Linked DNA regions of Xenopus tropicalis. The protein of the gene in region 1 interacts with the protein of each later gene in a biochemical or structural test. Links are inferred from orthologs where the notes say so. Each region holds a gene or a part of one and is shown on either strand. Other genes may lie near its edges.

Region 1 (4,403 bases):
GGGGATCTCAACAAGTTTCTTCTCCCCACTGTTCCCTGCAGTTGCAAGCTCCACTTATTTGGAGTTACAGCACTGCTAGTAATCAGTCACTTGGTTTAATGTTAAAATGACTACTAAAAAGTGCTCAGATACATAAAAAAAATTAGAGTGTTTCAGCCTTTTGTGCAATGCAATGTTTGGGTTATTGGGGTCACCAGCCCAGATAGTATCTTATTTGTCACCCTGCAGAATTAAAAGGTTAACTTCCCCTACAATCAGACTACCAGTTAATTGCCATGCTTTATAATGAACCAGCTGTGAGAGTAGATGGAAAGGCTGTGCACTGTATTAACAAACTTGCATTTAAAAACTGACATATTGATTTTACCTTAGCTTACAATAAACCACAAGGTCAAAATGTTTCAGTACAGAGAATATAAAGGAGATCTATCTCCACCTAATAACTATATTTGCATGCTAAAAAGACAATGTAATTCTAAGCACGGAGCTGTATTTATATATAGGCACTCAGGTGCCCAAGAGATTTTTTTGTATTATTTTTTAGGAAAAATAAAACCTCCCCAGTTACCACTGGAGACTTGCTGTGCAAATCTGGGGTACCTGACCCAATGTAATGCATCATGGTCAGATGTAACATCATGCGCAGTTTGCAAACTGGGGGGGCACTAAATACAGCAACTTTCCAATATACATTTATAAAAAATGTCAATGGTTTTAACATTGTTTGTAAAGTTAATATCTGCTGAAAGAAGTATTTATGTTTCCTTTCTGTTGTCTGGTTCTGATTCCAGAAACAATATAGTGAACATCAGTTTTCTTCCAGGTCTATTAATCAGCTGGCCTCTGCTTGATTGATTTAGGAGACAGAACCAAAACTGCAAAGAATATAAACAGCTAGACAGGTACTGATTTCAAAAGCAATTACATCTACCATTCATTTTAAAACCAATATTTTTTAATGAATTTATATTGGAAAGTTGCTTATAATTCAATTTTATTAAGAAAAAACTGTTTTTACATTACATTTCCCTTTACATGGGACTTGAAAAAGAAATGTGTCAGTATAAAAAAAAAAAAAAAAAAGACAGCAGCTAAAATGCTCCTCAATCACAGAAGCCAGAGGTAAACACTGAGCAAGCCTTACCATTCAGCCATGCATACTGTGTTACACAAATATTGGCACTGCACAGACGTCTATAGGGCTGGGTACAGATATTTATATTGGCTCTAGGAAACAAACAGTAGTTCCACAATATGTTCCCACTGCTAATGAATGTGTATCTGTATGTCAGAGATGACAAGTACTCCATCTGTTTCTAAACTGAACTTAAAACCCACAGACTGGTTAAATTGCCAGAGGTCTACAGGTTGAACATCCCTGCTTAGGTCAATAGTTTTTCTTGCCCAGATCATAACCTGCTCTTTTCAAAAACCTTCCTTGCCCAAATCATTCCCTGCTCATGTTAAGTTTGATTGCCAAAATTATTATTTTAAAATCATTTTATAAAACCAAGCCCCTTCTGCTGCAATGCCAGGGCACTATGTGACATTGTTACAAACATTTTTGAGATTGCCAAACTAAGCAAAGTATTAAGGAAATTGAATGTAACCTCTTTAATGCGGTTTAAGAAAAACAGAGCTCAGAGATTTGCGTTCCATGGCAAATTAAAGGATAGTAGTTACATAGTTACATAGGGTTGAAAAAAGACCATTGTCCATCAAGTTCAACCCATCCGAGTAAACCCAGCACACAACCTATACTAACCAATCTATACACTCACATACATAAACTATATATACAACCAGTAATACTAACTGTAGATATTAGTATCACAATAGCCCTGGATATTCTGCTTGTTCAAAAACTCATCCAGGCCCCTCTTACTTGTCACTATACAGTGCCAGGATAAATGGTAATGTTGCTTTAAACACTGGCATCTGTTACAAACAGAATCGCTGGATCCCCATTGATATACTAATGTTTGCAACAACAATCAGAAGACTGCAACAAATGCCAATACAGCACTTTAAAGAGACATGCTCAGAGATGTCAACTAAGCCCATGTCTTTCGGTTGATCATGACCCATTCCTGGAATATCTTAAATCTAGTTCCTCTTCACATGAAACACAGTAACATAGAAAAAAAAGGTCTCCGAAATGCCAGTAGGATCGCTACCACCTAAAGACATAGGTGAGAACTCTTCAGATTTATGGAATATGCCAGGAATATCCACTGTCCATTAAGGGGGCCTGAGAAGATCAAGTTACACCTCTCTATAGAGGGCTGTAGAGAATCTAGCTGTAGGGCCACCATCCAAATCCTTTTTTCCCCACTGGGGTCGCCATAGAAGTGTAAGATTCTGAACCATGTATGCTATACCCACAGTACCAAATATTTGTTTTAAGAGCCCACTAAAGACTGGGTACCCCATAGTTGTGCTGCTTGCAGCCCTGAAGGATGAATGCCCTGTTCAGCCTCCTATTGTGCATTTTATTATAAGCCTTGCCCTTAGGGCAATGGCGTACGGGCGTTTGAAGTAGAACAAGGACCTGTAATTCCCACCATAGAAAATACAAGGGAGAGGTGAGTGCCTACTGGCCGGCCAGCCTGGAAGGAACTTTCCCAGATCCGGTTTGTGGTGCGCACAGTTGCTGAGTATGGCTCTTACCTGCGCTCACAGGAAGCTCCACGGCTGGGCTATGGCTGCGGCGGGAGAGCTCGGTAACAAGGTTGCTCGCCACACAATGCGGAAAAGCAGAGCGCTAGACCGAGAAAGGGAATGAGCTGAAAGTTTCCCAGCTGCTGCCTGGGACTGGAGGGGAGAGGCACACAATTCTTAAAGTGACCGCACCTGCAAAGGAGTCACAGCCGTGTGGGAGGGGAAAGAGGGTGCGCACAGGAAGATCAATGTACTGAATGGAAATGCGGGATAGGAAAGGATTTGACAGGAATAATAACAAATCTTTATCATCTAAGTAACCGCAGTAGGACTGAGTGTGCCCAGCTATTTTAGAAGAAATATAGGTTTCTGCCATGATGGCAGATTGGAAGGATGCCGGCAGCGTGCAGGTAGTTTATGCAGTGCTTCTCCTTCCAGTGGATCGGTTTTAACATCACCCCAGAGTGTGTCCCATTGCACAGATTTTACACTGATTTCATGCGTTTACTTCTTGTTCAAATCTCAACTATAATCGTTGTATAAACATGTTATTACCATAACTAATAGCAGTATTATAAAACTGTTCTGTAGTGTTCCCTCTAAACTGGTGGAACTAAGCTGGTGTCAGAACTGTCACAAGTTCCCACACAAAGCGTTTTGTATGCACACGTCATTTAGTAGGCACACAAGTTAGGGCCATGGCCCACTGGGACACTAGTCTCCTGCTGTTAAATCTGTGCTACCAAGGGCGAATAATCTTCAAAAAACACCTTCCCACTGGCAATAAACTGAATCACCAGTGGGAAGATGTTGCTTTGTTTTCCAAAGTCACTCAACGTTTTCCCCTGCTTGTACTTTCCCACCAGCGATTCACTTAATTGCCAGTTGGAAGGCGTATCAGGGAGAGTAGTTTTACTGTGGGAAACAAATCTACCCATGGGCCATGGCCCTTACAAAACTGGTTCTTTATGTGTACGATGATGACATTTAATTGAACATGAGCTCATATAGTTGGGCTTGTGCAGAAAAAATGCATAAACAAATTTCCAAAAATAAGGTTTTTTTTAACACAGACATATCCGTTTGTAAAGATGCTCAGGTCATCCAGGTCATGGTATATCTGTAGTAATTTCTGAATTGTGAAAGCCAGTTGGATGACTGGCGAAACGTCTTCAAGAAAAAAAAACACAGCAAGTCCAGTTGATTTGACTTACTACAGATACAGACATATCTGATTCCATAGATTGAAAGGAATTTGTGTGTCTGTGCTGCAGGTACCTGCTCCTTCACCTTGTTCTATTGTGAAGTGTCCTTCTGACTTCCAGGTAATCTGTGCACAACCAACTATGGAAAGCACTAAAGTTCTAAAATACATCACTTCACAATGGAACAAGATAGGGGGAGGGTTTGCACAACACTGTGAGCCTAAGGGATTTTGGGAAATGGCTATTGAATATTATGGCTTCATTTCAGTCCGTAGCTTCAGGCATGTAAAAACTGGATTTATATTTATTTTTGGGTGTTCAGATGGTGCACCAGAGCTATACTGATAGCAACATTCACAGGCTTGCAGCTACAAATGTACAACATTCCATACCCTAATTAGAGTGAAAGTTACAAAGTAAGATATGTATGTATGTATGTATATTTTTATTTATAAAGCGCTACTTATGTACGCAGCGCTGTACAGTAGAATACATTAATACAAACAGGGGGTTAATAAGATAATAGATAAATACAAA
Region 2 (3,828 bases), on another chromosome or scaffold:
GGAAACTTATTTTTCATATATTTTTAAATGTACCCAAACAGGACCTCATAGCTCGTTTACCTATTCACAGCTTAATGGGTTTTAAGCTCAGATATCAGAACACCAAAACTGTTAAATAACTCTTACCTTTTCACCCTTCTCTTTGGAAACTTGTCGCTTTTCATTCACATCACATTTGTTTCCTAGGATCATTTTCTCAACATCAGAGGATGCATGCTGGAAGGCAAAGAGTGTAAAGGTTTATATTTGCATCGAGAACTTGTCAGTCAGAATAGTATGATGGTATCAAACATTAGTTTTCCTATCACGCTTTGAAGTCAAAGTGGCTTGTCATGCAATCAAAAGTCTGACAGATGGTCATACATCATACATGCTGGTCATACAAAGATCACCAGAGCCATCTTTACCTCTTTTATTAGTTATTGGCTGTTTTGTATGTAAATCTGTTCAATGTATATTGTAAAACATTGTGGAATATGTTGGTGCTTTATAAATACATGATGATGATAATAATGTAGGAAAAATCTGTTTGGCTAGTGATCACATTGGCCCAGTATATATGGTAACTGGGAGAACAGCCTTCCTTCCTTCCTTCCTTGTATCCCAGTCATTCAAACAAACTAAACTGGTAAAATGAAAGGCCCTTCTGATCCCCAAACTGCCAAAAATATAGACAATGGCCATTATGGGCCCACATTTGGACCATGCTATGCTTGAGTTGGGAGCACATGACCAAATTGGCATGTGAGACCAATTTAATGTCCAACATAATTCACTTATTTGCTTTCTCTTTGTAGAGCTATCAATAAAAAAAAAAAAAAATTATTAGTGCGGAAAAGTGCAAACCAGATGCTGGTGAAGAGAGAATTTTGTTTGTTTGAATTATAATTAAAAATAGAAATATTCCACTATCTATAACATATATAAAGGTACACTGCTTTTCTCCCCACTAAAAATAAATATGATCAGTCAAGACAAAAGCAAATATGCCCATGATACTTCTCTTATATGCACCTGCCCCCAAATTGGCTGTAGATTCTGGCAGATGCCAGAGGGGTTGCTGTAAGGTGCCACAGACAGTCACTATTTAGTGGACTGGTGGGGGACTGTTTGGGCCTCTGTGTACTTGAAATGCCAGGGCCTCTTGCGAATCCCAGCCAGGACCTGTGTGCACCTGCTTTATCAGGTATGTGGCACACTTGCATAAACCTGTGCCAAGCTCTCTACAGAACATACTTTCTGCTGGAACAAGAATTTCAGGTGAATAGATTTGTTGCAGAGAGACGATATTCTTTCTTTTTAATGAGAAACCACATTGCCATTGCCAAATCATGCTACAGGTACTTGTGCTTGAATAAAAAGGAAGTCCAGATCTATAAAAAAAAATATAACAGTTCTAGGCTAAAAATGAATACGTACTTCTTCAATGTTTCTGATCCAGTTTTTAATATTGTCAAAGGATTTTTCATTGGTGATATCATACACCAACATAATTCCCTAAAAGAAAAAAAATGTTTCCTTATGAAATGATATCCAACAGTAATGCAATGACAAGAAAGAAAGTACAACTTGTTTATTTTATACTGTTTTAGAATATATGTGTACAGTCATTTAGCTCTTAGTTTAAACTGGTTTATGAAAATACACGTAAGTGTTTAATAATTTCCCTGTGAGATTGTCACATATCATTTCTATGCATACACATATTTATATGCCACCACCTCTGTATTTAGTAAAAGAAGTAGAACACAGGCAATCCTTGTGCAACAATCATTGGTTTGGTTGCTAAAATAAGATCCTAATCAATTATACATCAATTCCTTGTAACCATGAATGTGTCACAAGCTGGCCGAAACAGGATATCAGGTGAACCGTGAACACTTCATGTGAATTTTTGGAAACAGGTTCTGAACAGTTGTTTTAACTGATCACATTTTGATGCAACGTGTATTGGAATTAATCAGGAAACCTGCTCAATCTCACCGACAAACCATTCATTAGTCAATATACCACATTATTAGGTTAGTTCAGCTTGCTTAACTAACCATGTTAGCCAATACTGAATGTCTCATGGCCGAATATAACACCATCCAACCCTGTTGCACAACTCTAAATTTACATACCAGGTATGGGGGTCTCATGGGGTTTCACACAGAGGTCTATGCAGTTGGGAAGGAGAAGGGGGCCCTGAGAATGTGGGAATACATTTAAAAAGGGAGGTTGGGGGTTTAAGTTTTCTTTTAATTGTAAGCACTATAGTAGGCCACTTAAGTTGAAAAAAAGTGATACAGTGCTCTCTGAAATCAGTGCTAGAAAAGGTTACAGGAGTCTAATGGTAAGCACCGATTCCTCACAGTATGTTCTCATTATGTTTGTGTGGGTTTCCTCCCAAATATATCCTTGTAAGTCACCTGGCTGCTGATGAAACTGACCATTGTGTTTGTATTTGTGTGTGTGTGGCAGGAAAGTTTGACAAGGGCAGGGACTGGTGTGAATGATTAAGCATTTTCCTGTAAAGCAATTTGTAATATACCGGTGCTCTGTAAAGGATAATAATAATTAAAGATAACAATATACCGCAAAGCAGAAGTTACTTATCAGGGTGCCAAAGTGACGTATTGTTTTTGCAATAGCAGAAGTGAGCACCTCTTGTAGCAGTTCTAATGAAATGTACCACTAGGCTTATTGTTGTGATTTGTCTCTTATTAACCAACACCTATTGTTTACATCCTTGTTCTCTTGATATTAAAATTATTTTTTGTTCAGCAATATAAATACTCCACGTATTGAGATACCAGAGATTATAAGGGTAAAGTAGACATCTGTCAAAATCTTCCTATAATCTCTCATTGCAGAGGACACCAATGGGTTAAATGCCTCCTACCATGCAAAGAACAGCAAAGGGCAAGATAACAAATAAATTCCTATACTCCTACCCAGCTGTATCTTATTCTGTCCTGACAACTATGAATCCTGATCCCCCCAGCTTCAGCAGCATTACTGAAGCTATCTTAGAAAAAGGCTCAAAGAAACAAGACTTTATCACATGCAAACCCACCTCAAGCCCCACTTACCCTACTTGTAATTAATGCTGGGATATAATTTTTGCTTGTGTGGTTAAAAAAAATAGATGGGCTGGGGGGGGGGGTGGGGGGGGCTTGCTGAATTAGCTTGCTGAATTACTGTTTACATTTCAGGAAAAGAAAATCCTCGCATGAAAGTGTACTAACCAATTGAAATGCAGTGTGGATGTGCAACCTTATTTTATCACTTACCATCGCCCCTCGGTAATATGCAGTGGTGATTGTACGAAACCGTTCCTGTCCTGCGGTATCCCTAGAATTGTAGAACAGTATTATGACCAATCAGTAATGTAAGCAGAGAAAAAAAAAAAAACAAAACAAGGGGGGCTTTTTATGGTTCAAGGTGGGAATCGTGCTTCAGGCAGTATTTTTGTAAAGGAAACAACAAATAATGTAAACAGCATTCGTTTAAGCAATTTTACATTAATTTGTTTTGGGTGTTTAGTCCCCCAAACATTTAATGCATTAAAGGGATTGTCATGATTTACAGGTTGTAATTTTTATTTGTAAATTACACTGATTACATAGCAATCTCAGTACATTGTGCCTGAGCTTTCAGAAGGAGCCACATTAAACACATTACACATTAGAACTGCTTTCAGATAATCTATTGTTTCCCCTACTGAGTATAAAGGTGGCCATACACGATTGTAGGCCCATGTAGGGGCAGCAACGACTGGCCTGCCTGACTGATATCTGGCCTGAAATTGGCCAGATATAGATCGGGCAGGTTACAAGATTCAGT

Evidence for each region.
Region 2: the proteins of sytl4 (region 1) and rab8a form a complex in vitro, tested with the Homo sapiens proteins (2 studies listed by BioGRID). The link is inferred for Xenopus tropicalis from reciprocal best matches to the Homo sapiens genes SYTL4 and RAB8A.

The regions. Positions count from the first base shown.
Region 1 is NC_030684.2:64,656,624-64,661,026, forward strand, and holds the start of sytl4 (synaptotagmin-like protein 4), read right to left. Parts: upstream 2,879-4,403; 5' UTR 2,671-2,878; intron 1-2,670. UniProt on the Homo sapiens protein: Modulates exocytosis of dense-core granules and secretion of hormones in the pancreas and the pituitary. Interacts with vesicles containing negatively charged phospholipids in a Ca(2+)-independent manner.
Region 2 is NC_030677.2:104,432,362-104,436,189, reverse strand, and holds part of rab8a (ras-related protein Rab-8A), read right to left. Parts: intron 3,337-3,828; coding exon 3,276-3,336; intron 1,498-3,275; coding exon 1,420-1,497; intron 217-1,419; coding exon 127-216; intron 1-126. UniProt on the Homo sapiens protein: The small GTPases Rab are key regulators of intracellular membrane trafficking, from the formation of transport vesicles to their fusion with membranes.